2 linked regions of the Macaca mulatta genome follow. Each later gene encodes a partner of the first gene's protein in a complex. Links are inferred from orthologs where the notes say so. Each region holds a gene or a part of one and is shown on either strand. Other genes may lie near its edges.

What was found.
Region 2: the proteins of STX17 (region 1) and VAMP8 are in contact, whole or in part, in a crystal structure (PDB 7BV6), measured with the Homo sapiens proteins. The link is inferred for Macaca mulatta from reciprocal best matches to the Homo sapiens genes STX17 and VAMP8. Residues at the interface, in NP_060389.2 of Homo sapiens: Ser171, Trp172, Thr174, Leu175, Asp178, Leu179, Glu181, Leu182, Leu185, Val186, Phe189, Leu192, Val193, Gln196, Glu198, Lys199, Ile200, Ser202, Ile203, His206, Val207, Ser209, Ala210, Asn213, Val214, Glu216, Gly217, Thr218, Asn220, Leu221; in NP_003752.2 of Homo sapiens: Gly9, Val13, Leu16, Gln17, Val20, Glu21, Val23, Lys24, Met27, Thr28, Asn30, Val31, Ile34, Leu35, Arg37, Gly38, Leu41, Glu42, Leu44, Arg45, Thr48, Glu49, Leu51, Glu52, Ser55, Glu56, Phe58, Lys59, Ser62, Gln63.

The regions. Positions count from the first base shown.
Region 1 is NC_133420.1:58,439,385-58,443,192, forward strand, and holds part of STX17 (syntaxin-17), read right to left. Parts: intron 1,885-3,808; coding exon 1,769-1,884; intron 1,698-1,768; coding exon 1,647-1,697; intron 1-1,646. UniProt on the Homo sapiens protein: SNAREs, soluble N-ethylmaleimide-sensitive factor-attachment protein receptors, are essential proteins for fusion of cellular membranes.
Region 2 is NC_133418.1:38,814,294-38,818,575, reverse strand, and holds the start of VAMP8 (vesicle-associated membrane protein 8), read left to right. Parts: upstream 1-1,239; 5' UTR 1,240-1,255; coding exon 1,256-1,258; intron 1,259-2,619; coding exon 2,620-2,778; intron 2,779-4,282. UniProt on the Homo sapiens protein: SNAREs, soluble N-ethylmaleimide-sensitive factor-attachment protein receptors, are essential proteins for fusion of cellular membranes.

The sequences.
Region 1 (3,808 bases):
TTTAAGTATCAATATCCTTGTGCTATAATTGTTCCAAAAGAGGCTAAAAGACCATTTATTTGAGACACTGGGGCAAGAGTAGAGGGATTAGACTGGTTGGCCTCTTCAGTCCTTTACCATTCCAATTCTGATTGTGTGATCTAGGAACTTCTCATTTAAAACTAGATTTCAGGGAAACCATAATTCAAAGATAAACAACCCCAAAATCATGGTTTGATCAGGAACAAAGAACTAAACCTAGAGAGAACTGCAAGCAGAAACTCCTGGGAAAGACAAATAAGAACAATTCAGAAAAATGATGGAAAATCTATCTTTCCCACCAAATTGACTTTGTGCTTCCTAATCTATGTTAATAGTATCACTGACACCCAATTATGCAGAATAAAGACAATGTTCCTTATCTTTGACTCCATCTTCCTCCAATTTCTGCTAATACTTCTCCCAGAAATATCTCTCAGCTGTCCTTTACCTTTACACTGGTATTGTCATTGCTCCAGGTGAACTCTTGCAATTGATTCCTAACCAGTCTTCCTTTCCATGACCTCCTCTTCTCTTAGGCCATTATTCACAAAGCCAACAGTGATCTTTCTGAAGCACAGACTGAATTTCATGACTCTAACCTGCTCAAGAATCAGTATTAGGCTTTTTAATGCCTACAAAGTAAAGTTCAAATTCTTTAGCATGGCATTCAAAGCCACCACAATCCGGCCCTCACCCACCTTGCTTGCCCATGGTGCCTTAGGCTTTGGTTATACTGCAGTACTTACCGTTCTGGAACATGCCATACACTTCTCTACTCCATGTCTTTGTTCAGCCTCTCAAATATACTCCATAACTTCCCCCTGTGGACATTTACTCATTTTTCAAGGCTCAAACAAATACTGTCTACCTGTGTGAAGCTATCTTTAATGCTTCCACCTCATGACTCCTGCCTCCTTCCTTTGGAATTAAAGGCTTTTCCTTGGAGCTGATAATACCTCTCTTCATTCTTGCTTTTGCATTTAGCCATCATGCTTGAAAGCTCAGTTTCTGGGGTCCAGGCCTATCTCCACTCACTGTAGAATGCTCAAAGGAGGCGGGGCGTGGTGACTCACACCTGTAATCCCAGCACTTTGCGAGGCTGAGGCAGGTGGATCATGATGTCAGTTCGAGACCAGCCAGACCAACATGGTGAAACCCCGTCTTTACCAAAAATACAAAAACTAGCTGGGCATGGTGGCATGTGCCTGTAATCCCAGCTACTCAGGAGGCTGAGGCAGGCAAATCACTTGAATCCAGGAGGCCGAGGTTGCAGTGAGCCAAGACCATGCCACTGCATTCCAGCCTGGGCGACAGAGTGAGACTCCGTCTCAAAGAAAAAAAAAGAATCTTCAAAGGCAGAGAATGGGCTTCATTTATTTCTATATCCAACCTGATCACACCCTCAATGTTAAGCATCTAACACAGTGCTTGTATATAACAAATGCTTAATATAAGTTTATTGAATTAATCTGGAATTTGAGAGCAGTTAAACTTCTATCTATGGCTTAATACCAGTTTTTAAAAGTCTAAGTTCTATTAAAATTCTAATTAAAAGCCTAGTGATTATAAAAGCTTCTCATTCTAATAATCCAACAATTCTGCATCCAAAACAGTTATATACTTACGTTCACTAGGAGAGAGAAGTCAGTGACCAGTTGGCTAAGTTCAATTAAGTCCTTTAAAAGAAAGGGAGAGGAAGTTACTTTTATGCCTCACAACTACCAAAAAGAAAATATTTTTAACATACCGCTTCTAAGGTTTCCCACGATTCTGCAGCATTTTGATCTTGAGGAATTTCAGGTAAGGCATATATCTGAGTCAAACTCTGAGAACTAGCTTCAGCTTCAGTAGTATGAAATGCTCCTGGATGAACATAATAACCCCATGTTTAGAGTTTATTTGCTTTGTTAGAAAGAAGATAACATAAATTGATTTCATAAAACAAATGCCATGTTAAATGCTCTCTAAATTTAGGCTAAAAGGAAATTGATTATTCTGCAAAAATAGAATTTGGCTGGGTGCAGTGGCTCACACCTATAATCTCAGCAGTTTGGGAGGCTGAGGCAGGAGGACCGCTTGAGCCCAGGAGTTCAAGACCCATCTGGGCAACAGAGTGAGACCTTGTCTCTACAAAAAAATTAAAAAGTTAGCCAGGTGTAGTGGCACACACCTGTAGTCCCAGCTACTTGGGAGGCTGAGGTGGGGGGGATCACTTGAGCCTGGGAGGTCAAGGTTGCAGTGAGCAGTGATCATGCCACTGCACTCCAGCCTAGGTGACAGAGCAAGATCCTGTCTCAAAAAAAAAAAAAAAAAAAAATTATCCATGGGACAGCTTGTTCCCCAGATTAGTTAACACATTTTTTTTTCTTAAATTTTTTCTTTTTTGTTTTTAATTGACACACAGTCTTGCTATGTTGCCCGGGCTGGTCTTGAACTCCTGGCCTCAACTGATCCTCCTGTTTCAGCTTCCCAAAATGCTAGAATTACAGGCATAAGCCACGACACCAAGCTTACACACATATTTTTTAACCTACACAGTCATCTAAAAAATGGCTACAAATATCATCTATCCAATCTGAATAACTAAGGCTAGATGTGGAAGAAGCACCAAAGGAAAACTATTCTACTTGGCCAATGTTCCAAGGAGACGTACCTATATAAATAGGTTTAATACTTTCCATCCTTAAACTCCCATTTGGCTATTTCAGTGTAAATACCAGATACAGAAGGTGTTGAAAGCAGGGAAGTAATATGTTTTTATTAATGATAATCAGTCACTATTGGTAACAATAAGATTGTCACCAAACATTCTTACCATATGTGTCTTTTTTGTCACTACTCTTCTCCTCAGAGTCAATCTTCTGGCCCATGCCTCCATTGCTTCTACTTCTTTTGAGTTTTAAAAAGTCATCAACCCACTAGGACTTTCCCCATTAAACACCACCATGATGATGAATTAATTCATACTTTAAAATCTACCTTCAAGTCTTTATTTCCTCATATTGGTTTTACCAATCATTCATTCATTGAGTTGACATTTATTAAATGCCTACTACCTGCTGATCAGTGTGCTGAGGTGCTGTAGACACAATGTTAAACCATAAAAACAGTTCGGAGGAGGCAACATAGTATAGTGGTTAGAAGCCTGGGCCTAGTCAGAAAGACTTGGGAGAATTCTGATTTGGCTATTTATTAACTGTTTGCTTTGGGTATTTCATCTCTTTGGCTGGTTTTTCTCATTTGTAAAATAAAGTGATATTCACTTTGCACAGTACCTGGGTTATATATAAAGTATAAGTGCTCAATAAATTAGTTACTGCTGCTGCTATTATTAACAGATCTTATTATAAAATGCACGATACAGACATATTAATCATCAAGTTCAGCCAGTATAGTCTAATAAGAACTGTAACACTGGCAAGTATAGAGTGCTACATGGGCACAGATGAGAGGTATTTAACCTAGACTTGTGGATGGGGAGAGTGGTCAGAGAAGGCTCTGCAGCTGAAGCCTGAGGATGAACAGAAATTACTATATAGGTGAACTGGTGCAGGGGTGGAAGGAGAAGCAAAGAGTATTCAGGTCAGAGAGAACAGTATGTGCATATGCTTAGGGACTGAAAAACGTTCAGTATAGCTGACTGTGATAAGGAGAAAAGTAAAGTTTAAGGCTGGAAATCTACTTTGAGATTATTCATGGCATTTGTAAACTATGTTAAACAGTTCTGTTTTTCACAAAAGATCAATATGTTACTATTAATAATAGTTGGAGACTACTGGGAAGGTGC
Region 2 (4,282 bases), on another chromosome or scaffold:
TCTGGTATACCAGGGCAGTCTTCTGATCACTGATCACTGACTGGGATCAATTACCTCTGTGGTGGTCCCTGAAGGGAAATGCAGAATTGCTGAACTCTGGAAGGGAAGGAGGGGTTTGGTGAGCCCTCATTACAGACACTGTGCTAGTGGCAGTGCACTGCACACGCTATCTTTTTTTTTTTTTTTGAGACAGAGTCTTGCTCTTGTTGCCCAGGCTGGAGTGCAATGGCATAGTCTTAGCTCACTGCAATCTCTGTCTCCCAGGTTCAAGCGATTCTCCCGCCTCAGCCTCCTGAGTAGCTGGGATTACAGGCACCTGCCACCATGCCTGGCTAATTATTTTGTATTTTTAGTAGAGACGGGGTTTTGCCATGTTGGCCAGGCTGGTCTCGAACTCCTGACCTCAAGTGATCTGCCTGCCTTGGCCTCCCAAAGTACTGGGATTACAGGCGTGAGCTACCATGCCCAGCCTCTTTTTGCTTCTTACCAGCACTGTCTGAGCTAAGCATCAGCACCTGCAAACTCCACAGAGGTGAAAAGGTTCACTCAGGGGCCTGTAACTAGTAACCCAGAGCTTTCTGAATCAGAGCCCAGGATCACAGTATTCCAGACTTCAGGGGTTTTAGTGCTTTCTGTCACTGAGGGACCTGAGAACAAGTGTTATCCAGCAAGAAATTTTCATAACTGCATTTTGTTTCCCTGTGAGCCAGGCCTGGCATGGTTGATCTCTGTCTCTAGAAACTGGAGTCAGATATTCAAGACATTAAAAGGAGATGGCTGGTGGGGCGTCATGGCTCCTAGGACTTTGGGAGGTTGAGGTGGAAGGATTGTCTGAGCCCAGGAGTTTGAGACCAGCCTGGGCAACATGGTGAGACCTCATCTCTATTTAAAAAAAAAAAAAAAAGAGAGAGAGAGAGATGGCTGCCCTTTTTAGATCAGGAGGTCCAGCCTCAGGAAACCTTGGAGGGCTGCTTGATCTTTCTTTTCTAATTCCTGAAAAGTTAGAAGACCTTTAACATCTGAGAGCCCTATTACTCTAAGCTTAAGCTCTTGTTTGGGAAGCCACTGGGTGGACAGTGAAGAGTGCCCGCCTACCTGGGGAAACCTGAGTTAGGTGTGGCTGGAGCGACTCGAGATGCGAGGTGGGCGGGGGCAGGCTGAAAGCTGGAGCAAGCAGGAAGTGAGCTGACGGCCACCCTGGGAGGAAGCCGACTAGGCGAATTCACCTGCTGATCGGCCTGGGCTGCTCTGAGACATGGTGAGCGAACTGGAAACTAGGAAAGGGCTGATTTAAAGAGGAGCCAGAAGGGGCTCGGGACTGGGGGTTGGCTGTGTGGGGGGAGGAGAGTTGGCGGCAAAGTTAGAGGGCTGGGCCAGTGCTGCCTGTGGCCTCTCCTCTTTGACAACTTGGCTGCAAATAGCTCTGAACCGTCCTAGCAGGTGTTTCTATTCCTTCTTCCTCCCTCCCCTGACCTCTGTGCTGGTGGGGAGCTGGGCTTCCGTGCCAGTGCCAATGGGGGCTCCGAATTCCAGGCAAAGTGTTGTTGTGCCTTCCTCCTCCAGGGAGCCCGAGGCGGGTGTTGTGACACCACCAGGCAGTGCCTGGGCAGTTTCCAGTTCAGATTCCAGCCCAGCGGCAGGAGCTCTCCTCTCTGGCCTTTCACTTTATCCCTACACAGAAACACAAAGGATTTGTGTGTCCACTGAGTCCTTTGGGTGTCCTTTCTCCATTAACATGAAGAAGAGAACTAAGGGTTTATAAGATAACCAGAAGTTGGTTCTCTGTGATAAGCTAGTTCTGACCCATGCCACTGGCCTGTTTTTGGAGGTCAAGGAGGGAGGAGCTTAATAATATTTTTCTCTCCTTGTTCAAAAACCTTGTCATGAAGCCTCTGAGATGAGACATCAGCCAGGGAGGACTAGTCCTCCATTTCCCCCAACACCCAGGCGGGTATTTTTATTTAATGTCTGCATAAGCAGGTGGTTGCTTGGTGCCTGCGCGTGGTGCCCAGTGGTAGGGAAAGCAGAAGTGTGTGGCTCAACGGCTGTGGGCGCCTTCTGGGGTACTTGGTTGCCTGTTGTTCTGGGTCACAGCAGCAATGGCATTGCGGCCAGGGCCATGCTCCAGCAGGTATTTAGAGGGGCAGATGGGTGAGGCTGGGTGAGGGTGTTTTGCTGGCCAGCACAGACACTTTCAATGAGGATCCCGAGAAATCAGGAAAGGGGGGTGGCTCCGGGAATTGTAAATAGTGGTGGGCTCTGCCCTGGAAAGGGAACATTGTGAGATGCTGGCTCTGCTGTATTCTACGGCCTTCTCTAGGGAGCAAGGAAGCAGCGGGGAGGGATTTAGTGATGCGCTGCTTTTCCTTGTCAGGGGTCCTAACAATCCCGAAAGAAGTTTGATCTAGTCTCTTTAGCATCACGTCTTACCTTCTGAGGCTTACAAATGCATTTATTTTTGATTACACAAGTAATACATGAAAACATTCTCTTTGTAAACATTTCAAGCATTTTACAAAAAGCTGAAGTCTGCCTGAGGCCTTACCCTCCCCAGGCCTCTGAGGCCAAGTCTCCAGTTCCCCCACCACTTGGTCTAATTAACCCCGTGTTGCTGTGCAGGAGGAAGCCAGTGAAGGTGGAGGAAATGATCGCGTGCGGAACCTGCAGAGTGAGGTGGAGGGAGTTAAGAATATTATGACCCAGAATGTGGAGCGGATCCTGGCCCGAGGGGAAAACTTGGAACATCTCCGCAACAAGACAGAGGATCTGGAAGCCACAGTGAGACAGGGAGCCCACTGGAGGCTGGAGGAAAAGAGGAAGGGAGGGAATTTCTTTTTGGTGGGGCAAAATGAACAGGAGGGTCAGAAGTGTAACATTTCTGTTGCCTTTCACCTGGTTTGGGAGCTGATGTGAGCTGAGTCTCCACTTCTGAATCTGCTCTGCTCCACAGATTGTTATGGATCCCAGGGAATGGATCCCATGACTGGGGCTTGAGGTGGCAGCTCACCCATAGAGGCATATTCTGAGACTGATAGCTCAGTCAGCCCATGCATTCTCAGGCTTCTCTCCCGGGAAACTTGTTTTCCCTTTGAAGCCTGCCCATGACAATCATTTGGATCTGACCTTCCCAGGGCAGAAGTATTGGCTTTGAGGAAACCCCCCCACCGTGGCCTCTAGCCTTCTCTAGGAGCTATTAGACAAGGGGTGGGAAATTGCTGGCATCTTGCTGAGTTGGCTTTAAAAAGAAGGAGGAAAGAGCAGAGAAATGCTTTGATCCCAGGGTCCCCTGCTAGATGAAGGCTAAAATAATATCTCCCACACATCTTGCTAGACTTCATTCTTCTCTCTCTCCAGCCAGGGGCTGCGGCCAGCTGTTTCAGGGAGGAAGTAACTCCAAAGTTGAGCAAAGTCTGGAGCCTCAGGTTTTGTGTCCAGCTGGGAAGCTGGCTCTGGCTTTCTTAGTCCTGTGTGAACTCTTGGCTCTTGGGTATTGCTCCCTTGTCTCCCTGGGGCTCATTGCCTGTTTCTGTAGCTTAATTGTAGCTTAATTTGGGGAGCATGGCCCCGGGAATTTTTTTTTTTTTTTTAATAGAGCCTCACTCTGTTGCCCAGGCTAGAGTGGTGCAATCTCGGCTCACTTCAACCTTCGCCTCCTGGGTTCAAATGATTCTCTTGCCTCAGCCTCCTGAGTAGCTGGGATTACAGTGTGCACCACCACACCTGGCTAATTTTTGTATTTTCAGTAGAGACGAAGTTTTGCCATGTTGGCCAGGCTGGTCTCGAACTCCTGACCTCAGGTGATCCACCCACCTTGGCCTCTCAAAGTGCTGGGATTACAGACTTGAGTCACCATGCCTGGACAAGCACTAGGAAATTTAGTGTCTATAACTCGAATTGCTGGGCATGGGGAAGAGTGCATGGAGGAGGAGGAGTTCCCTTACTTCCAACCCTCTGTACTGTCCTGGTCCCTCCTCCAGCCTCAGCAGTCCCGATGGGGCAAGGAGTCCTGTAGCTGGGAGATGTGCCCACCTGGAGCCTGCATCCCTCAGTCCCAGGATCTGCCCTCCCAAGGGCAGATTGGGAGGGCAGATTGTGCTGCCAGTGTTGTACCCCTGGGTGTAAGCAGGTGTCAAGGACCCCTCAGTGTGCATGACAGTGCAGGGGTAAGAAGAGAAAGGGGACCCCTAGTCATATCTAGGTGGAGACCTCCTAGGATCCTGAGAATTCTAAATTTCAACCTGGCCTTCCAGATTTTTAGGAAGGTACATTTGTCAAGGTAGGC